4 linked regions of the Saccharomyces cerevisiae S288C genome follow. The gene in region 3 interacts genetically with the main gene of each other region. Each region holds a gene or a part of one and is shown on either strand. Other genes may lie near its edges. The genes, in order: URA3, TLD1, ARO80 and MTC3.

What was found.
Region 1: mutations in ARO80 (region 3) and URA3 impair growth when combined (synthetic growth defect), as found in Saccharomyces cerevisiae (one study listed by BioGRID).
Region 2: mutations in ARO80 (region 3) and TLD1 together harm fitness more than expected from each alone (negative genetic interaction), as found in Saccharomyces cerevisiae (one large-scale study listed by BioGRID).
Region 4: mutations in ARO80 (region 3) and MTC3 together harm fitness more than expected from each alone (negative genetic interaction), as found in Saccharomyces cerevisiae (one large-scale study listed by BioGRID).

The regions. Positions count from the first base shown.
Region 1 is NC_001137.3:113,495-119,333, forward strand, and holds URA3 (orotidine-5'-phosphate decarboxylase), read left to right. Parts: upstream 1-2,672; coding exon 2,673-3,476; downstream 3,477-5,839. Other genes in the region: Arf family guanine nucleotide exchange factor GEA2, read left to right, coding at 1-2,306; protein transporter TIM9, read left to right, coding at 3,717-3,980; PXP1 (putative indolepyruvate decarboxylase family protein), read right to left, coding at 5,123-5,839.
Region 2 is NC_001136.10:1,010,659-1,016,389, forward strand, and holds TLD1 (triglyceride-associated lipolysis regulator TLD1), read left to right. Parts: upstream 1-1,593; coding exon 1,594-2,301; downstream 2,302-5,731. Other genes in the region: DON1 (Don1p), read left to right, coding at 1-615; YDR274C (uncharacterized protein), read right to left, coding at 931-1,302; PMP3 (Pmp3p), read right to left, coding at 2,818-2,985; MTH1 (Mth1p), read right to left, coding at 3,743-5,044.
Region 3 is NC_001136.10:1,309,018-1,317,024, reverse strand, and holds ARO80 (Aro80p), read right to left. Parts: upstream 4,986-8,007; coding exon 2,133-4,985; downstream 1-2,132. Other genes in the region: SIP1 (Sip1p), read left to right, coding at 1-1,699; HKR1 (Hkr1p), read right to left, coding at 5,350-8,007.
Region 4 is NC_001139.9:70,117-75,889, reverse strand, and holds MTC3 (Mtc3p), read right to left. Parts: upstream 2,551-5,773; coding exon 2,179-2,550; downstream 1-2,178. Other genes in the region: OST5 (dolichyl-diphosphooligosaccharide--protein glycotransferase subunit), read left to right, coding at 2,732-2,752, 2,902-3,141; glucose-induced degradation complex subunit VID30, read right to left, coding at 3,343-5,773. UniProt on the Saccharomyces cerevisiae protein: May be involved in telomere capping.

The sequences.
Region 1 (5,839 bases), on a different chromosome or scaffold from region 3:
AACCAGACGCTGATTCTGTTTTCATTTTAAGTTATTCAATTATTATGTTGAACACTGACCTACATAACCCTCAAGTGAAGGAACACATGTCATTTGAAGATTACTCTGGTAACTTAAAGGGATGCTGTAATCACAAAGACTTCCCATTCTGGTATTTGGATAGAATTTACTGTTCAATCAGAGATAAAGAAATTGTTATGCCTGAAGAGCACCACGGCAACGAAAAGTGGTTTGAAGATGCTTGGAATAACTTGATATCTTCAACTACTGTTATAACTGAAATAAAAAAAGACACACAATCTGTCATGGATAAATTAACACCCTTGGAGCTTTTGAACTTTGATAGAGCAATTTTTAAACAAGTTGGCCCAAGTATTGTCAGTACTTTATTCAACATTTACGTAGTTGCATCTGATGACCATATATCTACCAGAATGATAACAAGTTTGGACAAATGTTCCTATATTTCCGCATTTTTTGACTTCAAAGATCTCTTTAATGATATACTAAACTCCATTGCTAAGGGCACTACTTTGATTAATTCAAGCCATGACGATGAACTTTCAACTTTAGCTTTTGAATATGGCCCAATGCCACTGGTGCAAATTAAATTCGAAGACACTAACACTGAGATCCCGGTTAGTACAGATGCTGTTAGATTTGGTAGATCATTTAAGGGTCAACTAAATACAGTTGTTTTTTTCCGGATTATTCGCAGGAACAAAGATCCTAAAATTTTCTCCAAGGAATTATGGTTAAACATTGTTAATATTATACTAACATTGTACGAAGACTTGATTTTGTCTCCTGATATTTTCCCTGATTTACAAAAAAGACTGAAATTAAGCAACTTGCCTAAGCCATCTCCTGAAATTTCTATTAACAAGAGCAAAGAAAGCAAAGGTCTCTTATCAACATTTGCTTCTTATTTAAAAGGTGATGAAGAACCCACAGAAGAGGAAATCAAATCCTCAAAAAAAGCGATGGAGTGCATAAAGTCGAGTAATATTGCCGCCTCTGTCTTTGGAAATGAATCAAATATAACAGCGGATTTAATAAAAACTTTACTAGACTCCGCCAAAACTGAGAAAAACGCAGATAATTCCAGGTATTTTGAAGCAGAACTTTTATTTATCATCGAATTGACTATTGCATTATTTCTATTTTGCAAAGAGGAGAAAGAATTAGGAAAGTTCATACTTCAAAAAGTTTTCCAACTTTCTCACACGAAAGGCCTCACGAAAAGGACTGTTCGTAGAATGCTAACATACAAAATTTTGTTAATTTCGTTATGTGCGGATCAGACGGAGTACTTGTCCAAATTAATAAACGATGAGCTGTTAAAAAAGGGGGATATTTTTACCCAAAAATTTTTTGCAACTAATCAAGGTAAGGAATTTTTGAAGAGACTATTTTCATTGACCGAATCAGAGTTTTATAGAGGATTTTTACTAGGAAATGAGAATTTTTGGAAATTTTTAAGAAAAGTTACAGCAATGAAAGAGCAGAGCGAGAGCATTTTTGAATATTTAAATGAATCGATCAAGACAGACAGCAATATTTTGACAAATGAGAACTTCATGTGGGTCCTAGGACTATTAGATGAAATTTCATCAATGGGTGCCGTTGGAAATCACTGGGAAATAGAATACAAGAAATTGACAGAAAGTGGTCATAAAATTGATAAGGAGAATCCATACAAGAAATCGATCGAATTATCATTGAAATCCATTCAACTAACATCACACTTGCTGGAAGATAATAACGATCTGCGTAAAAACGAGATATTCGCTATTATTCAAGCTTTGGCACATCAATGCATCAATCCGTGTAAGCAGATAAGTGAATTTGCAGTGGTAACGCTAGAGCAGACGCTCATCAATAAAATCGAAATTCCAACTAATGAGATGGAATCGGTAGAAGAATTAATTGAGGGCGGATTACTACCGTTGCTAAATTCGAGTGAAACACAGGAAGACCAGAAAATCCTCATTTCATCCATATTAACAATAATTTCAAATGTTTATTTGCATTATTTGAAACTAGGGAAGACAAGCAACGAAACGTTTTTGAAAATTTTGAGTATTTTCAATAAATTTGTAGAGGACTCAGATATTGAAAAAAAGCTACAGCAATTAATACTTGATAAGAAGAGTATTGAGAAGGGCAACGGTTCATCATCTCATGGATCTGCACATGAACAAACACCAGAGTCAAACGACGTTGAAATTGAGGCTACTGCGCCAATTGATGACAATACAGACGATGATAACAAACCGAAGTTATCTGATGTAGAAAAGGATTAAAGATGCTAAGAGATAGTGATGATATTTCATAAATAATGTAATTCTATATATGTTAATTACCTTTTTTGCGAGGCATATTTATGGTGAAGGATAAGTTTTGACCATCAAAGAAGGTTAATGTGGCTGTGGTTTCAGGGTCCATAAAGCTTTTCAATTCATCTTTTTTTTTTTTGTTCTTTTTTTTGATTCCGGTTTCTTTGAAATTTTTTTGATTCGGTAATCTCCGAGCAGAAGGAAGAACGAAGGAAGGAGCACAGACTTAGATTGGTATATATACGCATATGTGGTGTTGAAGAAACATGAAATTGCCCAGTATTCTTAACCCAACTGCACAGAACAAAAACCTGCAGGAAACGAAGATAAATCATGTCGAAAGCTACATATAAGGAACGTGCTGCTACTCATCCTAGTCCTGTTGCTGCCAAGCTATTTAATATCATGCACGAAAAGCAAACAAACTTGTGTGCTTCATTGGATGTTCGTACCACCAAGGAATTACTGGAGTTAGTTGAAGCATTAGGTCCCAAAATTTGTTTACTAAAAACACATGTGGATATCTTGACTGATTTTTCCATGGAGGGCACAGTTAAGCCGCTAAAGGCATTATCCGCCAAGTACAATTTTTTACTCTTCGAAGACAGAAAATTTGCTGACATTGGTAATACAGTCAAATTGCAGTACTCTGCGGGTGTATACAGAATAGCAGAATGGGCAGACATTACGAATGCACACGGTGTGGTGGGCCCAGGTATTGTTAGCGGTTTGAAGCAGGCGGCGGAAGAAGTAACAAAGGAACCTAGAGGCCTTTTGATGTTAGCAGAATTGTCATGCAAGGGCTCCCTAGCTACTGGAGAATATACTAAGGGTACTGTTGACATTGCGAAGAGCGACAAAGATTTTGTTATCGGCTTTATTGCTCAAAGAGACATGGGTGGAAGAGATGAAGGTTACGATTGGTTGATTATGACACCCGGTGTGGGTTTAGATGACAAGGGAGACGCATTGGGTCAACAGTATAGAACCGTGGATGATGTGGTCTCTACAGGATCTGACATTATTATTGTTGGAAGAGGACTATTTGCAAAGGGAAGGGATGCTAAGGTAGAGGGTGAACGTTACAGAAAAGCAGGCTGGGAAGCATATTTGAGAAGATGCGGCCAGCAAAACTAAAAAACTGTATTATAAGTAAATGCATGTATACTAAACTCACAAATTAGAGCTTCAATTTAATTATATCAGTTATTACCCGGGAATCTCGGTCGTAATGATTTCTATAATGACGAAAAAAAAAAAATTGGAAAGAAAAAGCTTCATGGCCTTTATAAAAAGGAACTATCCAATACCTCGCCAGAACCAAGTAACAGTATTTTACGGGGCACAAATCAAGAACAATAAGACAGGACTGTAAAGATGGACGCATTGAACTCCAAAGAACAACAAGAGTTCCAAAAAGTAGTGGAACAAAAGCAAATGAAGGATTTCATGCGTTTGTACTCTAATCTGGTAGAAAGATGTTTCACAGACTGTGTCAATGACTTCACAACATCAAAGCTAACCAATAAGGAACAAACATGCATCATGAAGTGCTCAGAAAAGTTCTTGAAGCATAGCGAACGTGTAGGGCAGCGTTTCCAAGAACAAAACGCTGCCTTGGGACAAGGCTTGGGCCGATAAGGTGTACTGGCGTATATATATCTAATTATGTATCTCTGGTGTAGCCCATTTTTAGCATGTAAATATAAAGAGAAACCATATCTAATCTAACCAAATCCAAACAAAATTCAATAGTTACTATCGCTTTTTTCTTTCTGTATCGCAAATAAGTGAAAATTAAAAAAGAAAGATTAAATTGGAAGTTGGATATGGGCTGGAACAGCAGCAGTAATCGGTATCGGGTTCGCCACTAATGACGTCCTACGATTGCACTCAACAGACCTTGACGCTCACGCCGTAGCGGGCGACAAGTCAAACGGAACAACCGTTGCCGTTCCCATCGGAGTCCGACCTAGGCCGAACTCCGTGAATTTCTGATAACAACGGTCGGTAAAGACTGGTTCCCCAGTATATTTCTTCTCTCAGGAGCAGGGGCCAATGCCAAAAGCGACATTAACCCGGAGGACAAGGCTCCACTGTGTTCCACCGAATTTCCCACCTGATAATATCTGATAACCCGCCCATAGGTGGGGATCCTTCTGTAAACAGGTTTCTTAATCGTAGGAATTACCACTGTTCCACTGCCAATCGCAGCTCCCAGAGTTTCGTTCCCAGCCGCGAGCACCACAGCGTACCATGTGCGCCACGAGGCCTCAAACGTAAAACAATCGAAACGAAAAGAAACAGACTATAGGGGAGTATAGAGACAGCCGGCCAATAAGAAGAGGAAAAAGAAATACTAGCGTTTATCAATGTGGGTCGTTAACATATCCTGTTGACAATGATTACAGGTTAAAAGGTAGCGTAAGTGAATATTAACTATGGATATTCTTATACTTAGATAAGAGACATATAAAACACACGATGATTGATTGATTTTTATGACCAATATATGTAATTCGTAATTCAGATAGTTTTTATACTTTTAATGTGTGCCGAACCATATTACTAGTATATGTAACTACCATGTTATGTTCAATTGGCAGATCTTTAACTCGGCTTTAGTTATCCAAGTTACTTGCAATATTTCCTTCTGCGAGAGTACATTTGCCCTTAAACGTATACGAGGTATTCATTAATGTGTGTTGTAAGTATTTAGATTGACATCTATAAGAGAGATGAACATATATATATATATATATATATATATACATGCATATTTACTATAAACGCGGTTTATTCTGCCAGGCAAAGGCAATTTGCTTTTGTTCGCCAGGCTCAATGATAACGTTGATGACACTTGTTTCTCTTTTAGTCCGAGAAAGCTGCACGGCTTGTTGGAAGCATCTGCTCAGTTCGCTTATTGTGTTGACAAAAAAATCATTGGCACCCAGTCCTTTGCCTACGAGATCGTAACGGCAGTTCTTGCTTAGTGCCGTTGGAGGTAAATCACCCTCTATATCCTTTTCTCCATGGTAAATACCGCTATTGTTCATCACAACGATGACCAATGCCAGCTGACACCTTACTGCCGTTTCAATTTCCATGGCAGAGAATCCAAATGCGGAATCACCCTGAATCAGCACCACATCGAGTTCCGGATGAGATGCCTTGCATGCAAGAGCATATCCGAGCCCAATCCCCATAGTCGCGTTGGTCCCTGCGTCTAAACGGCGCCTTGGAGCGTCTGTAGGGAATGAAATACGCGCAATATCCATAGTATTTGCTCCCTCCGTCACAAGTATTGTCCTGTAATCATCGATAAGAGGCCTCAATGTTCCATAAACCTGGTTGTAATTCAATTGTGCCCCTCTAGTCTTCTCTTTCCTCAATAGACGAGTTTGATTCAGTTGAATTTTCTCTCGTATTTCTTGCTTAACACCACTATACTTCCAGCAGGAATCTTGGCGAGTCAATTCCTCAACTAAAGCGGTTACGCT
Region 2 (5,731 bases), 300 kb from region 3:
GAAGACGAATTTTCTGGTCAAGGAATAAATGGCTCCATGGTAATTTCAAAAATTGAATCAGAACTAAGTTCTTTGGCCGAACACATTGGCAACATTAGCACCCCCGGATCGAATAGAGAAGTCGCCGAATCGACTAGGAACGTGGCTGTTGCAGAGGGCCATAATACAATTTTATCAAACGAAGATAGTATACTCAAGGGAAAAGAGAAGGGAAAAGAGGAGGAAAAGGAGAAGGGAGAAGAAAAGGGAGTTAACAGCTTAAAAGGCGCCGCTGTGAAAGTTGTTGCGAAGTCATTGAAGAATAATCGCATTCCCGTCACTGTGAAGAGAAATGAGCCTTCAAACAATTTATTTGACGTTTTAAACTGCGACGAAAGCGAGGAAGAAGAAGAGCAAGATGTCGAAACCAATACGTCGAATCAAGAAAGGAAGAACCAGGGCGGTAATACTGAAGTGCCGGAGGCTCAGCGTGACAGTGCAGATAGGTTACCTGCCAAGGACGACGGTGGATACAAATCTGCCTTTGGCACTGATAGTTGTGGTCTATTTGCAGCTGACGCTAAAGATGAAAAAAAGCAGGTTCATCCATCTAGACAAGAATTAAGTTTTACGTAGTGTATAGCGGTAATGTTTATTAACTCTTTCGGCAAAGTGCGTTTGGGCTCGCAATGAACAGACACCACCATTGCTTCTTCTGCGCTTATTTGCCTTTGTTGTATATCTAGTTCTCAAAATGGAGTCATTCATCAGTCGATGTGTGGGCGGAAATGACGTTCATCTAGCAATGGCACACTAGTTTTTACTCAACAATTCAAACTCAATGGAAAGCCAGGAAGTTAGCGCCGGGAAACTTCAGGACAATATAAAAACAGGACTAACGGAAGAAAATAATGTGGGCCTTTTTGAGCAACGCTGACGGTAAGTAGTTTCCTACGATCGTACAATCCCGGAAAATTGTAGTGGTGCAAGAAGGGAAAAGAATGATGGCGAAAAATGCACGCGCGTAAATAATGATTTGTCGAGTCCTATTGACCACAAAACCCGCGGAAACCTAGTTAGCCCAAAAGGAAATGGATAGCATATGAAAAACGAAACGAAACGTCCTTTTGCACGGCAGAAAGAGCTTAGTAGGACCCGGGACAAATGCAAGTTAGATTCCTTGATTCCCGAATGCTCGGTCTTGCGTTTCGCCGTGGCTGCATGGAAGGTCATCGTACGGGTACGGGCAGTCTGGCTGAGTGGTGCCGCCAAAGTGCAATAGCTGTCAGTAGGGCGTGAGGAATGTAAAAGGCAAGAAAACATGTACGAGGGAAGAGAAGGGGGCAAAAGAAAGATAATAGGAACGGTGTAGATGAACTAGAAAAGGTTCAAGAGATGATAAACGTGAAGGGAGTGTCATATCTACCGACATAAAGATAGAGATCTTTTTTTTTCCTTTATTTTTTTTTTTGATTTTTTTTTTTGATTTTCTTGATATTAGTTTTTAGAAGTCCTTTGACGGGGCAGCCGGAGAATATATACCAACGGCATTCTATTGTCTTTTTTTCTTCCTTCCTTGCCAGGCATCTGCATCCATTATTGCCTTTAGTTACAATGTTTTTTTTCCCGAAGCTTAGAAAACTTATAGGTTCAACTGTGATCGATCACGATACCAAGAACTCATCAGGAAAGGAAGAGATCATGTCAAATAGCCGATTAGCACTTGTTATTATCAACCACGCCTTTGATAAGGTACTATCTTTGACGTGGCACTGCGGGATATTATCCGAAATAAGATCAGGACTGATGTTAATGTTTGGCATTTTCCAGTTGATGTGCTCTTTGGGTGTCATCGTATTGCTGTTGCCTATTATCATACTGGACGCGATCGATCTATTCCTCTACATGTGCAGGTTGCTTGATTACGGTTGCAAGTTATTCCACTACAATAGATCATCATTACCGGTGGCAGATGGAAAAGAAAAGACCAGTGGTCCCATAAGCGGAAAGGAGGAAATAGTTATTGATGAGGAGATAATTAATATGCTAAATGAATCCTCAGAATCATTGATCAATCATACTACAGCTGGTCTGGAATATGATATTAGTTCAGGTAGTGTTAACAAAAGTAGGCGTTTGAATTCAACTAGTACAGTTACATTTGTGAAGCAGAATAAACTTGTTAATGAAAGGAGGGAAGACGCCTACTACGAGGAAGAGGATGATGATTTCCTATCAAATCCGAATTATGATAAGATATCATTGATCGAAAAATCATTCACGAGTCGTTTTGAAGTGGCTTGTGAGCAGAAAGCTGCTTAAATTGATAATCAAGGTCAAGGCAACGCAACGCCACTGCTAAGAACACTTATTGCTACAGAAAGGAAACTAAAAATAATTATAAGGCTAGAGAGAAATAAAAACAAAATAAGAGAGATAATATGGGTAAGGGTCTGCCACCCATCTGATAAAAGGCTGTTCTATCTTTTGGAACTCTACAACACAGGTAAACGGATGATACTGGCTATATTTATATAGATAAACAAACTTGCAGGACAGATAGTTAAGCGTCTATATCATGTGTATTTTAAGCGAAGAAAAAAGTACAAAAATGATAAAAGGCAAAAAAGATGAGAAGTTTTTTTTGTGATAAAATTAATTATTAAAAAATACACACGTAGTTAAAATTAACAGCGGGGGAGGAAACCTTAAGAGAAAGAGAAACAAAAAAAAAGAAAGGAAACAAATAAAAATGAGGGTGACCCGAACATGTTGATACCGTTTCCTAATACTGCTTCCTTATTTCATTTGATAGTTACTTTCGTTTATTGAATGAGCTTAATCTTGTAGGACAATGTACAAGGCATATAGCATACCTGGGAACCAAGCCAAAATGGTCAAAATGATATCCACTATACAGTCAGTACCCCACCCACGGGCTAGAAAAACGGCGACTGGTGGTAAGAAAAGGGATAATATAATGTTAATGATCTTGGCAGAATCCATTGTTGTATTGTGCTGTGCTGTTTAGTTCAAAATGTATAATCAATTGTATTATACTGGCGAAAAACAACAACCGATAGTAAATTTTCTTCTTTTTTTCCTTTCCCTCTTCCAAAACAAAAACACTCACTTCCTCTTTTGTATTTATAGAGGCGCCCATCGCAAAATAACCAGGACCCCCTTTTGAGGGCGTGGTTAAAGGGCACCCAGAGCCCACACCCATTGCATCTTCCGCTATTAGGGGACTGCGGAAGTGAGGGGAGCAGTAAATAGTGATCTTTGTAATTTTCTGCAAAATCCCTCTCGCTGTCTCGGGTTTTTCGATTCAGAGGACCTTCCCCCCCCCATGTTCCGAGATCGGTTTTGGTGGTTAGAAGGCCGGAGGAAAGACATTTACCGCTTGCGCGCGGCTTCTTCTGTATGCTGTGCTCAACTACCAAGAGAAGGATTACGCGCACGGATACGTTGGATGTCTGCGATTGGTGATGCTAAGAACTAAAGGTATTTCGTCATCGTATGGTTTGATCTTCGCTACCCTTGACTCTTTACTGCGATAACGGTACCACGTTCCCATAAAATTCTTATTACTAAATCTCTATAAAGCTGCAACAGCTAGTTTGTATATATAAATCATTGGCGCTTCTTCCTCAATTCCTTGGGAATTTGGAGCTCCTCTATTAAAACTGATGTCCATGGGATAGTATTGATACAATCGAAGAGTCTCCAAAAAAACCATCGGGAAGGTTTCTTTTTAGTATCTTCAGGATACTGAATCCGGCTGCCAATCCAATCCTAATCTTTGGTAAACTTGTGCCTGACATTGCGACCATATCGTAGCCTTTTCTTCTTTAGATAAGCTGACTTTGTTTTTTCCCTGTTGATTTGTTGCGGCGCTTGATCTCATCATCAATTCATCAAGGTTATTATTGGGGTTTTTCAACTGAATGTTCTTCAATAAAGCCTTTTTCAGAAGCGATTTTGTTTCTGTGCTGTTTTTCCGCGGTATTATGCTTGGTGGGGGCATGTCCGGTCTTTTTAAGTTGGACTGTTGTAACTTCCATTTCTTATATTCGGAGCATCTTTGTTTGAAATCAAACCTGCATTGTGCCTCTACTGCTATATTTAAGAGGTAATTTTCGATGATATTTCTCCATTCCGGTTTCGACAAATTCATGACGGCTTCATTTCTACCAGTTATATGCTCATGTCTTTTTCTAGCGGTCGCTACTGTATATTTGGCGCTGGTTAGTTTGAATTCATAATCTAAGTTAGCCTCCATGTACAGATCCGAATGGACTAACGTTGCGATTATGGTCTCATCGCTAGAATATAGTGGTAATAATTGTAACCTAAACTGGGGCATATTATCACCCACCGTTATTACTTCCGGTAGTTGATTACCCCATTCGGGCCTTAACTTCTCGACTATCAATAACGATCTTATATCGTTTAAATCCCAATCCAATAACTCTCTCTTGGTAAACTTGGGACGCCCGTTACAGAGAATGTTGGATGGGTCTGCTAATAGAATATCTGGCGAATACATGTCATAAAACGTTTTGGGTAATGCTTCATCCAGGCTCACTCTCGTGATTAACTTGTGGTTAGGAAATTCGGAGAACGAAGAGTCATTAGTTAGTTGCGTGTGCACAGTAGAGGGGGCAGAAAATATACTTGATTGATAAGACGAGGCATTATCCGAAAGTAAACTCCCACTTTCAGCCACGCTTGATCTCCTGCTCGCTGAATGCATACTGCTTGAATGATGTGACCTTCTGCTAGGTGAGGAGGCCAATAATCTTTTTTTAATCTCATCTCTAGCTCTATCAGTGTACTCCGGAGGAGCATTCACAAAGTTCTCTCTTCTCGAAGAAGTCGTGGATTGAGAGCTACTCATTGATAGTGGCAAACTTTGAAAAGAAGCATTATCACTGCCACTCATCGTGTTTTCCGGAATGGCCTGTAGGGAGCTTGCAAACCCATGATTACTGTTAGTCGATTCTAATGGACGTCGTTGTAAAACTTGGTTTTTCGAAGTTGCTGGTGGTGGTGAAACAAACATTCCTTTGAGTGTGTGTACTCTATGCGTTCGAATAAAATTCTCTTTGTATTGCTGCTTGTGGTTTCGCTATTGAGAACTTTCAATATACGTTAAAAAATACTTGGAGTGAAATGAACAAATCTTTTTGTATGTTTCCTTAAGTTATTAAAAAACTCCATGCTGTTTTTTAATAAAAAAAGAAGCAGTTACAGGCGCATTACAAAGTTTGAGAAGAAAGGAAAAATGTCATTTGGTTATATAAATTTTTTTTCTTAATGGAGATTGAGGCAGCAATAAAATGTGGGATGAAAAAAAAAAAAAAAGGCACTTGAATAAGGGGTAGAATGGCAGATATTCCATGTCTACGGTAGTTTCACTGGAGAAATGGACTCGTATTTTCTCTCACGATGAATTTTTCCACAAAATTATAAGATGAGGAAATGTGTGGGGCAGTCATCCTAACAAAACTCGCACGGACTCCATTTCCCCGGACCTTTTTCCCGCTTGTTCTAGGGAATAATTTCGGAATAATTTTAGGGACTTCATAGTATGACTGGGTTTCAAGGAACGGAAAAACTGGTTAGTACCGCGTTATTCTGCCATTTGCTGATCGTTTTAGTGGAGGAGCGGAGGAGGGGGCGGGGTGATAACTTTTTTTCCGCTTTACAATAGAGAAAAGTCCAAGTAAGTCTCGGCGTGAGATGGCCT
Region 3 (8,007 bases):
TGAGAACTCTCAAATGGATAAAGAGGGAAACAGTGATAGTGTAGATGCAGAAGCAGGCGTACTTCAAAGTGAAGATATGGTTTTGAACCAGTCTCTTTTACAAAATGCTTTAAAAAAGGATATGCAACGTCTTTCAAGGGTGAATTCCTCTAATTCAATGTATACTGCAGAAAGGATAAGCCACGCTAATAACAATGGAAATATTGAAAATAACACCCGTAACAAGGGAAACGCGGGAGGCTCCAACGACGATTTTACCGCACCTATATCTGCTACTGCAAAAATGATGATGAAACTGTACGGTGATAAGACCTTGATGGAAAGAGATTTAAATAAGCACCATAATAAGACAAAGAAAGCCCAGAATAAAAAAATAAGGTCGGTTTCAAATTCGAGAAGATCCTCATTTGCTTCTTTGCATTCTTTACAATCAAGAAAGAGTATCTTAACAAACGGTTTGAATTTGCAGCCTTTGCATCCACTACATCCAATTATTAACGACAATGAAAGTCAATACTCTGCACCGCAGCATAGAGAAATATCGCATCACTCTAATTCCATGTCGAGTATGTCTTCAATATCATCAACAAACTCCACCGAAAATACTTTAGTTGTTCTAAAATGGAAAGACGATGGTACCGTGGCTGCAACCACGGAAGTCTTTATAGTAAGCACGGATATTGCTTCTGCTCTTAAAGAGCAAAGAGAGCTTACCTTGGATGAGAATGCAAGTTTAGACTCAGAAAAACAGTTAAATCCTAGGATCCGCATGGTTTATGATGATGTGCATAAGGAATGGTTTGTTCCAGATCTTTTTTTGCCTGCAGGAATTTATAGACTGCAATTCTCCATCAATGGTATATTGACTCACTCAAATTTTCTTCCTACAGCTACGGATTCAGAAGGCAATTTTGTCAACTGGTTTGAAGTATTGCCCGGTTATCATACGATCGAGCCATTTAGAAACGAAGCAGACATCGACTCGCAAGTAGAGCCAACACTGGATGAAGAATTGCCCAAGAGACCGGAACTTAAAAGATTTCCTTCTTCCTCTCGAAAATCTTCCTACTATTCTGCTAAGGGTGTTGAAAGGCCAAGTACACCGTTTTCAGATTATAGAGGCTTAAGTAGGTCCAGTTCAATAAATATGCGTGACTCATTTGTACGTCTGAAGGCTAGCAGTTTGGATTTGATGGCCGAGGTCAAGCCTGAGAGGTTGGTGTATTCGAACGAAATACCAAATTTATTTAATATAGGTGACGGCTCTACGATTTCTGTAAAAGGAGATTCTGATGACGTGCATCCCCAAGAACCTCCCAGCTTTACACATAGAGTTGTTGACTGTAATCAAGATGATTTATTTGCTACTTTACAGCAAGGCGGTAATATTGATGCAGAAACAGCAGAGGCGGTTTTTCTAAGTAGATACCCAGTTCCTGACTTGCCCATATACCTGAATTCATCCTATCTGAACAGAATACTAAACCAAAGCAATCAGAATTCAGAATCACATGAGAGGGATGAAGGTGCGATAAATCATATTATACCCCACGTGAATTTGAACCATTTACTGACAAGCAGTATTAGAGATGAAATAATCAGCGTAGCTTGCACTACTAGATATGAGGGGAAATTTATCACTCAAGTAGTTTATGCACCTTGTTATTATAAAACACAAAAGTCTCAGATCAGTAATTAGAATCTCAATTCGCAATGATTCTCACGAACTCTATTAATTCAATTTTTTTCTTTTTGATTCCTATGGCTCCTAGAACGTTTGCATTCCTTTTTTTTTTGTTCTAGTAGGTATTTCACGTCACGTTTCTGGCAATCCACTTCTCAGCATGCGTGGAATATACTTTAACATATCCAACGAATTTGCTGCATATTCTTATGTAATAGATAGCCGTTCCTAATGTGTAATGGCCTGCTTTGTTATAGAAATCATATATAAGTAGTGATTGAGCCGTAAAATCATCTCATATGCCCAATGGAAAACCAGTCATAGTATTATGAAGCATTCGCATTATTATATACCTCCATCTTCCCCTGTTATTCTGTCTTTGTATTTAAAATCATTTTTACGAATAGTGCGGTTGTCTTGGTTGATGACGTAATTCTTTGATATCTACTTATTTACGCGTTATTGGCCTTGAGTTATTAATATCATTATTGATGTTATTACTATTCACGAACAAGTTGTATAAATTTTCGAAATTATTATTATCACCATCTCCACATTGCATATATCGTTGCTCAATAAGTTCTGTCCATGGTTCTACAAATTCAAGCCCGATATCTTCACTAGCACCGAACCAATCTGTAACCTCGTCAGATAGAGATGGACCTTGGAAGAGTTCATTGTTCAGTAACGCTGTTGTGATATCGTTGTTTTGTTCAACAAAAGGATCAACGATACCTTTAGAAGATGTATCATTTGAATTCTGAGAATTGCTATTAATTTCCTCCGTCAAAGGCCTTTCCGAGGGTTCAAAAGTAGTCTCGGTTTTATTATATCCAATACGTTTAGAGAATATTGGCTTCTTAGTTAAGTCTTGTCCCTCCAGTGAGGATTCGCGATTGCTCTCTAGAGGAGTGGTGCCATCTCTTAATAAGGGTGGTCGTTCTAAGTAAGATTTTTTTCGAAGTTTCATCTCTGTACATAAGTACATTAATATGGCTGCGTATCTTTGACATAGATGTAATTCATCTGGTGTAGCTTCTTTCAAAGTAACCGCAGTGTCACGGATGATATCGAATGTTTCGTCAACCGATATTGCACTTAATTTTAAAATGTTTCTGGCATCTGGATTTGTTGCCAGTTCACTACCAGTAAGTGTTAGGTAGCATTTTACTATGAACGCAATGGATCTAATTATTCGTATTACCCATCTTACGGGCATGTATTTTAGCATTCCTTGCCTTGAAACTCGCTTTGCAGAACTCAATATTTCTTTTGCAGATCTGTATGCTAATTCCACATACCTCGCGCTTGTCACAATTTCATTCATATTCAATCTGCTTGTTTTCCCATCCACTTGCAGTGCGAGGGAAAAGATATAAAGTTGACAATAATTGAAATCTGTGATAATACTTTCACCATTTATTCTATCGATGTTATCAAATATTTGTTTTTTGTTCTTCCTATCTGCTAGTGAGAAAGGGACATCAGAAAGGGGTACAAGAAGCTCTCTGTAGTTACTGAGCCAGCCCTCTATCAAGGGAGAAAAAACACTTAGGACAGAGAGGTTGTGTCTCTGATCTGTCGTTGCCAATTTCCTCTTATTCTTCTCACAGTAAATCGTCTCATATGCTATGGATAGGATTCGAATGATCTCTATTTTTGCTCTTTGGGCGAATGAGAATCTTAGTGGAAATGGTGGTATGTGATTCTGTGCTAGATTAGTATCATCTTTTTTATTAGAATAATATAGAACATACTCATCGTTTAAAAACTCCCTCTCCCAATCAGTCAAAAAATTTTTCTCGTTGTCGTGGTCATTTTCTGAGTTTTCAAAAACTCTCTTCCACCTTAGTTTACTTTCTTCATCAGGCAAAATCTCATTCAGATAAAATTTTTCATTCCCAAGGTAATCCTCATTGCTTTCATTTCCATCGTTTTCAATTTTTCCTAAATTCAAGTTTAAAACGCTGAATGATTCTGCTAATAAGGATCTTTGATTCATATTCATAGCACTGGTAGTCTCAGATATATGAGTGACAATGAATACTTTTGAGCTGTTTTCAATGAATCCCATATCTTGCGCCAGCCTTACTGCAGACCCTGTCAGCATCCATGACATTCGGTCGCTTCTACGGATTGCGCCGACACCGGTCAATCCTTCTTCGTCCTTCCTCGTACTAATATTCTTACTTCCTCTAGCGTTGACATTATTTAACTCAGGATCATTTGCATAGTCAGACCATTTATAGTGGATACTCCTTGGGTTCCATTCCGTGAAAATTATGAAAGCAAGCACGGTGCCAATTGACCTAGTACTAGCCTCTGCCCAAATTGTTTGAGATATAAGCTTCTGGCAATACACCCATAATTTATCGTGAACTTCAATGTGTCTCATCCCATCTTCTCCATTGTCTAATCCTAAAGTATCGAAAGGATGATAGCGAGCAGAAACAGTCAAAATTGCACAAAACAAAATTGGATATTCTGCTAATTCTTTCGGATCATGCAATTGAAGTGGGATATTGGGAAAGAATGGGTGCATCGTGAGAAAAAATGCCTCTATGAGTTCAATCGCCTCCTCTTTAGTAAGCAAGCTATCTGGACCGATGTAATCGAAGTCGTCAATTTTCCGGGTAGGTGGAGGTCTCACTTTCCCGATTTCTTCCATTAATTGTGATGTTTTCCTATTCGTATTCAGCGTGTGGTTAAGCATATCTGCTGTATTTTCGTAAAGTGTGTTAGTACTGTCACTTTTTGAAAGTCGTTTCAACCCCTCGTCCGTAGCAGATTTATTTGTCGCATCCAAAGAACTTTTCAGTGGTTTCGGTGTTGTGGACTTCTCTTTTATGATTTCTTTTGCGCCTTCTTTTGCTACAGTTCCAGCAGCTTGGGCCAGAAACTCTAGGGCGTTCTGCATGGAGGAAAGTTCAAGCTTCCACTTCATCCCTTCTGATTTAAATGATTTTTCACTGCTAATCCCTTTTCTTGACAAAGGTACATCCGATAAAATTGGGCTCGTTGAGTCATTTTGTATCTCTTGCTTACTCTTACCTAGAGATGGCAGACTTATTGCATTAATCGAATTAGGAGGCAAGTCGTTCGAAGTTCCCTTATTAGAGCTAAAAATACATTTTTTTAGCTCCCTTTTGCAACGTGCACACGGTGGGTCGTGTGGGTTATCAACCGGACCAAGATCACATTTCACCTTCCTTGATCTGCAGCTGATGCAAGCTTGGTAGGTTCTTCTCCGTTTTGGAAGTTCAAATGCTGCGTTTCCCGAAGGCCTTTTCTTAGCAGACATAGAGGATAAAGCAGTGCTTAATGTAACCTTATTATGCGTGGATCATATATTCCCACGACTAACTTGATATTATTGCTTTAATTTATTCTCGCTCTTTTTTCATTGGTTAGTTACTATCTTCATTTATCTCGGTTATCATCGGATAGAATAGTGTACTCTCGTTGATTCCGAAAATATTAAAAAAAAGCCTTCATGTATTACTAAGAAGGACTCATAAAATTACAAATGCAATACTTGATGATATATATAATAATAGTAATGGCGTGAGCCTATGTGTATTAATGGGTATCAATTTTTGTGATCATCTTTTGTTGCAAGCGCCCCTTCCAGCAGCGTTTATTGCACAGTCAATAATCATTTTTCGCTATATTTTTGTCGTTTGATGGTTCTGTTGTTTTATAACTTTCGACATTCTCTTATAAAGTTCTTCGTCTAAAGCATCCAGCTCCTCGATATGTACATCTGAAACACTACCATTGTCGTCAATATCCTCTATTTCTAAATCTTCAAGATTAGAGAAAAGAGTCTGATTTGGCTTTGGTAGTGAAGATTCTGTGTAGCGTAATGTGTGAAGTTTAATCGAATTTGTATGAAGGGGTGTGGTATAAGCGGTACTTGGCAAACATGTCTGACTCCCTGTAGAAAACTCATTCGTAATTTGATTTCCAGTATCGGGATCATCTGTAGTACATGATTCAGTGCCTAGTCCATGAAGTTTAGTTTCGCACAAATGGTTCTTGTTATAGTTTTCAATAACTTCGTCTGGCAAGTGAAAACTGTTTGACTCTTCATTGTCAGAATAACTGTCGTATAATCGAATATCACCATTTTCATCAACATCTAGAATGCCTGATATGGACTCCTCATCATTCAAGAAGGCTTCCGTAGCATCTTGGTTTTTGTCATACACGCAGTCTCTTACTATACTGTCTATTCCCGAACCATCATCCCCATTGGTTTGATCAAAATCGAGGGGGATTGCGTCCCTGTACAATAGATCACCGTCATCATTAATGGTATAATGTAATCTGTGAATAGTATTATAGACTGTGTTTTCGCCAGTCACAATATAATGATCATCTACCGCAGAGTAAACACTTTCATTTTCAGATTCTGGCGGCTTTTCATTATAAACTTGGTTTCCAGAAGAAGAGCGGGAAAGCTCGGTACTTTCAAGTTCCCTCTCATTATTGAGGCTTTTCCCTATGCAGTTCCTTGGGTGTCTTTTCAATAATATATTTCTATGACGGAAAGCAAAAAATGCAACGAATAACCACAAGAGTACGCCAATAGTTAAAACAATCAAAAAGATGATTATTTTTACAGCATACTTTCCTGCAGATGCAGAATCTGTGAATGAATTGATAAAGTCATCCAAAGCTCCATACTTGTAAGTTCCATCTATGTTTTGGGAATTTCCTTTTGAAGAATCCAAGACGCTTGATGAGGTTAAACTAGGGACATAACCACCATCTCCAGAGCCATATAACGTCAATCCCCCTAATGGGATCCCACTATCTATTAGACCAGCTAAACTTCGCAGTGGGGTTTGAGGATTGCTATAAAGAGTCGAATTTTCATCAAGGATTAATTGCTGAAGATATGTTACGGCTTCTGTTGGAAAATATACCTCTGCAACTGATACAATGTATGCCTTAGAAGAGTCTACCATGGGAACAATCTTTTTCACCGCTATTGAGGATGTGTCGACTTGTGGAGGATGTAAGTCCTCGGTTGACTTCGTGGCATTTTTTTTCTGCTGGTTTTTTTTTTTCTTGACAACTGATAATGATGATATGGATTTTGGGGAAAGGGTAGTTGTGCTGCTCCCAGACCGGTATGAAAGAATAAAAGTGGATAATTCCCCAATACTATTGTCCAGTTCTGATGAGGTGTTTGAAAAGGGATACTTCAAAACGAGAGGTAAAAAGTTGAAGATTTGAGCCGAAGATAATGGATTTTGAACCAAAAATACATAATTCAAAGCGGCCGTGAATCCGATGGTAATTAAAGTGTGGTTAATGGGTTCCGATACAGCGACGGCCGGTTCAATTGCATTGGGAAGTGAACCAGTGATTGACGGATTGAATGATGCGGTAGTGGGGCCCGTTTCGGATGATTCCACTATAATAGCGGTAGGTAACCATGCGTAACTATTTGGAGAGGGGTACGGAGTAGTAGGATAGGTAGACAAGGCAGGGGCTGTGAATACTGAATTAGTGCTTGCCTGAGTTTGAACTGCAGTCGTAGCAGGTCCAATTGAGATTTTTGTAAAAGACCGAGAATATGACCCACTGGTTTCAGAAGAACTTTTGTATTGCGTCTTTGTTGTGGTTAAGCCGGTTTCCTCGCCATTTTCGCCCATGGTTTTCGATACTTTCCTGGATAAACTTTTCGAATCAACCTTTGTATTTGTGGAGAGCGATGGGTTAGATGAAATATGTGAACTTTGTAAAGAACCTACAGAATTCCTCCCTTCGGATTTTTCAGACTGACTATTTGCTCGTAATGTTGATGTAAAGCTTGTGATTCTTTCTTGTGTGTTTGAAACAGATTTACTTGCAGGTATTGTTTCTTTTGAAAGTTTTATTGAAGATATTGATGAGGATGAGTAGCCAAATGAGGTTGCACTTTTTGACGAATCGACAAAGTTATGTGATAGTCCAGTCACAGAATTATGAGAACTTGGAATAGATAAAGAATATGCGTGCGAGCTACTTGAAATTGTAGTTATCTCTGTAGGAGTAGCGGAAAACTTTTCATTGTCTGGTTTCGCCGCGGAAGATGTGTATAGGAAATTCGAAACAACTGTGGATCTGCCACTGGTCTCAGTATTCTTGTTCGCCGTATCGTATGGATTTTTTGTACTGCTAGACAGCTGGCTCTGTAGTGAACTAATTTTAGCTGAGTTTTTGGGGCTTGTTATGCTTGCTTGGGTCGATGAAATTATCAGAGAAGTTTCAACCAAATTCGAAGCTGAAGGGTTGAAAACGGAAAGCGCGCTTGAATGTATTTCGTCATT
Region 4 (5,773 bases), on a different chromosome or scaffold from region 3:
CACAGTGCATGCCATCACAAATAGTTACTTTGATTATTTCAGTGCCATCGCATGACTTCAGTTTTATTACACCTTTAATGATGTAAAAGCGCCGTCAAGATACTAATATAGACGCACGAGTTTCGTTCGCGCGTCTTGGTGAGATTGAAAAGTTATTTTGCCTTTCTTGTCGAGATGATGGTATTTCCCTTTTTTATTTAACATTCATTAATTCCTACCTGTAGTTATCAACCTTTACAGCAACGCAAGTGAAGTGGCTTACTATATAAGCGTAACTCCAATGTGCTTGGTTAGTTTTGGAAAATTTCAAGGCGTTGTTGCAGAATTGTACCTTTAAACATGTCTACAACAACTATGTGGATGTAGCATCTCTATCATGACGCAAACGCAAACATCTCTCTCTCTCTCTCTCTCTAAGTCGCATGTTAAGGCCGATAGTACTGGTTTAACAGGGTTTGCCAAGGCCTCAATCGTTAAGTTAGCTTCTCCACTTTCCCCAGCATCAATCTTATGGTATGATCAACAATCTACGAGGAATTGCAGAAATGATACCTGTATCACAAAGGAATTTGCGTATCATAGCGTCAACTGGAACCATGGATGGAGCTGAGAATTTATTCCTCATAAACGAATTCAAGTTTCTTTCGCTCTGCCAACACAAAAATTTCAATTTCTGTCCTACTTATGTCCTATGAGAGCCATAATTTACACCTCACGTACATAGTTGCGGTAATATGATAAGTACACTTTTTCTGTGCTTCATTATCGTAGCGATAGGTATACCACTCATCGTAAGTGTGGACGTAGCGATGGAGGTTTCTGTGCCATTACCACCACAACCATTCTACTCTTGTAGTGATGCCGCCAACGTGGAATTATGTGGTATCGTTGTTATCTGCCGTTGACTACCCTCGGTCCAACCAACGTAAAGGCCAATCTCACTTTCTAAGAAGGTCTTATCAGGGTTGATACGGACAAACTCTTCATAGCCTACGTCGAAATCAAATTCTGCTGAAGCTGTGATTGTAATCAAACCTAAAATGGTAATTACTGCTCGAAAAAAAAGTAGAGAAATTCATGGTTGACGCTCAAGTTCAGGGATCTGAGAAAATCTTTTATTCGTACGTCCCATGTGCTCGGTCATACTATGGCTGCTATATATACAACATGGTTGTGGAGAATTTACGCAGGATGTGCCTACTACCTTGGGAGCTACTAATGTCGTATATTTCAAGTGTCTGCATGAAGACTGCATTATAGTCCCTTCAGAGTTTTCTTTGATCGTTTACAATGATCATGGTGAAAGGATTATTTCTGTTATAGCTGGCACACGACAGTCACCTATATGGTAGTTACTAACTAAATATTGCTCAAAGTCAATTCCCAACAATGGGAAGCATGCTGCGATTTTAACAAAGAAGCAGCAGTACCCAGATACGGAACTGGATTAGACAGAGGAGGAAAATCATAAGGTACACAAAATTTTTTGGGCTTTAATTTCTCAAAATGTTTGCCGGTAAACCTGTACATTCTTTTTTCACCATCAGTCTATCTTGTAATTAAGTCTTTCATGTAGTATTGAATCTGCAATATTTTTTAACCAACTATCAATTTTCGTGTCAACAAATTACTCTTTACCATGTAGACAGCTACTGATTCAGGCGCACATGAAGACCTATTCGCTTATTTAACAAATATTAGCGTATTTTTTGAGACTATTAACGTGTGTAGACCTCCAGAGGCTGCACTCTAAAAGCCCCCAGGGATATGTCTATACTGTCCTTTGAGAGTTATACGTATGAAAAATAGTAAGGAGACGTCTCTAAGCGTATTTAGAATATACGCTAAGAGTGACTAATGTAGGTAAGTGCGCAGTAATGGCTGGTAAACTTTTTTTTATACTAGTGCCATGTTGTACTGAACTTCAATTTTACAACTAAACTATGAAGCAAGTATCTTATCTTGGGGTTGTATATTTCAATTAAGTGGTTTCGTGGTCTAGTCGGTTATGGCATCTGCTTAACACGCAGAACGTCCCCAGTTCGATCCTGGGCGAAATCATTATTTTTTTGAATTTTTATATTAGTTTATTTACAGGGATAGATAATGAATGATAAAAAATGAATAGAACGTACTCTGCGCAAGCGCATATATATATATACTATTGTTGCTTCCAATTTATACAAGATCCCTTAATTGTTCCTCTAGCTTTTTATCTTGTTTCCAATTATAAAATGCAGTCGCTGCACCGCCAAATAAAACAAGGTTGAACACTATCCGCATTCCCGTGTACCCTACGTTCCATTCGTTGCCCTTGGATCTGCCACCACAGGGTCCATAAGATAAGAAATACGCTGCTTTGGTCTCCTCCAGCGGTATATGTCTCCAATCTTCTTGCATCCTCCATCGTAAGTATTCCTTGATTTCATCCCTAACTTCAGGTCGTAGAGTGGGCCATAACTTCGTTATATTCGTAATCTCTACTACCGGTGGCTGATAAGTGCTGAAAGATCTTTTCAGTGCTAGCCGAATACCGTTTCGTCCCATCATCTTCTGCCTTATTTCTACCTATGTTGAAATGATATCTTTTGGGTGGTCTTCTCTTTTCTTTGACGCGAAATTTGAAATTGCAAATACTTTTCGAAGAAGGATGCAAGTACACATAAAACGTATACTGTAAATAGGCAAAACATAAGCAGTGAGAGATATCCCTGCATATTCAAGGTTTACAATGACTTATGAACAATTATACGTACGTTGCCTGTAACGCTGGTTGATGCTATTCTTTTGATGTTTTTAACAACACACAGGACAATGAATAGTTCCCTTCCTGTTTTCTAATTCATAATTACTAACAAGTATAGCCAATTCGCCTTCTCGGCATTTGTGTAATCACTTAAGAAAGAGTTCCATTCCTCAAAGAGCTTCCAGCCATTTATCCACTTAGACACTCAACCAAAATTTGCAATTTGTGGTTTAATCGTTACATTAGCTGTATTATCATCTGCCCTGTTCGCCGTCGGTTCTAAATCTTCATACATTAAGAAACTCTTCTTCTACACAATTTTAAGTGTAATTGGCAGCTTGTTTGCTGGCTTGACCACTGTTTTTGCTTCGAATTCTTTCGGTGTCTACGTCTAGTGGCTCTTCGTTGGCCTATAAAGGAATTATCGATGAAATTATATACTATACTTAAGAAGTATTTTGGATGAGAATATTAAAAAGAAAGGTGTCAAGTAAATTTCATTATATAAACGGTTTAAGACATATTAATATGCGATTTTTGGGAAGATAATGACTGATATCACATGGCTTTGTTGTTTGAAGGTGCTTGTTTTATGCTCATAAATTCAACACATCTTCGTCGAAGTTAATAGCTTTGTAATATCTTGGATCTGAAGAGTTGGTTGAACCGAACGCGTTATACTCAAGTAATGTAGAAAGCATAGCTCTAGTGTTTGATATTACATTCTCTAATGCGCATTCGCTATCCTTATGTAAAAATGTTAGTATTGTGTTGTTACTAACTTGAAATAATCTCTCTTGTAAGTATTCGTCACTCAAATATCCTGATATCTCCTTTGGTGCCTCCACAAGTGGATTGGAATATGCTAACAATGCAGAGACATTACTCAATTGTCCACTAAACCTATCCCTCAAAGATTGTGGAATTTTAGTATCGTAGATAAATTCATTAGATAATTCTTGACCCTTCAAAATTAAATTTTCAATTTCGTCATCATCTTTGGATGAACTCTTTTTAATCATCACCAGATAATTCGCTAGTTTTAACTCAAATACCAATTCTAGATTATTTTTTAACAGATCTGGAATTTCGTTATCGATATAATTGATGCATTTGCTAATTTGACCTTTGTTTATCAAGTATCTTAATTCTTGCCTTATCTTTACCATACGTTCTTCTTTCATGATCTGTCTTTCATTGTGCCTGATAACATCTTTACTTTCAGAATGTTGCCCATTGACATTAACCGCATCTTTTTGCAAATCTTTCAAAAACCCCTTTGCAACATCCACCAATCCTTCGTGGATCAAATAATCATTTATCATCACGTTTAATGTATTAGGCAATGAACCGTCATCCACGCTTAAGTTGTTAATATTGTTCACGTCTGGTCTAACTAGCTTTCCATCTATAAACCTATTATCTTCTCCCAAAAGAAACTTCAGATTGTTGTCCTTCTCATCGTTAAGCTTCTTTGTATCCTTATTACCAGCGGCACCATCCTCTTGATCAATATCCATCAAATCTTCATTAACGTTTGTTGATTTATTTTCTTCAGGCCCATTTTCAGTTTCATCTTCCTCACTTTCATCAGAGTCGAATTCTTCAATTGAAACGTCCATTTGGCGTCCACGACAAATATGCTCATACGCCAAACTCTTCCATTTATCTTGATATCCAATAATGTCAAATACAAAATCCTCATTTAACCCAAAATTTGTTTTGATAGAATTCCCAGGTCGTAAGGCCACATATGGGACGAATTCTAGATCATTCAAGTCGGTGAATGCGTTACCTAAATGGATACCATTCTTCGTGAAAAAAATTGAGCCATCGATAAAATTTATGCCACAACCAATAACGTCATCCCTACCAAAAGGCTTAGCATATTCCTTAGATTGTTCTGTAGAATTAGTTATCAAACCGTCAAATCCGCAATAGCCAAATACATTAAGATCAAATCCGTATTTCTGACACTTATTTATGGAACCATCCACGTTAAGAGACATGGCTGAAACGCCCCCTTCATAAATATAATCACGCCTTTGAGTACCTTCCATAGTGAAAGAAGTAGAAGGTACTCTATTGGAACTCATGTTATTACTACCACCTAAGCTACTACTAGAACCGGCCACGCTTGAACGAGAAACACTCTTTTTTGTAGTCGCTTCCATTAATTCATTCTCTACTAACTTGTATCCGATAACAATGTTACTATTTTCAGCACTCTCTGTACTCGTTACACTGAGAACTTTAATCTCGTAATAGAATATAGTTAACTTATTGTCTGGCAATGACTTATTTGCCCAAGTGACTGCAAAGTCCACTTTCCCAGAGTTCTCAAAAGAGGTTCTCAGTCTATTTCTGGTAGAGGCAGAAGAAGCGCTTGATCTTTCATAAGTCATGTATGAGTGATAATCAGGATTAGGTTGTAAATGAGTAATACCATCTTGAGATAGCTGCAAGCTGTTATTTGGTTGAGCTTGCCATCTAGAAGGTAAAAAGTACCCAAGTATTTTGTAAATATCAGGGATCATTGAGTTTTTCTTTTTGCTACCACTGTTGGACAAAACATTTGTTGCCTCATTGTCATTTTTGTCGTTACCAGACGATACTCTAGGAGAAGAAAAGGAAGAACTTGGAGACTGATCAGGGGGGTAGTATTGTAGACCACTGTTCTTGTCAGATGTATCCCACAAATTCCTTGATTCTGTTTCTATATTAATAGCTGATCTAGATCTTTGATATATCCATGGGTCCGCAACCCTTTCGGCACGCTGCTGTGCACTGGACACATCAGCATCAGCTCCTCTACTTCCTTCTTCTCCACCTTCCTCGTGATTGTCAGAGCCATCTCCTTCGTTGTTATCGTCCGTGTCAGTATCCACTTCCCCTTCTAAGCTTTCCAGATCGGATTCATCGTCGTCGTCGTCATCGTCATCGTCATCATCGTCATCATCATCATCGTCATCATCATCGTCATTTCTGTCATTTTCCAGGCTGGTATTAGAGTTAAGCGCCATTTCA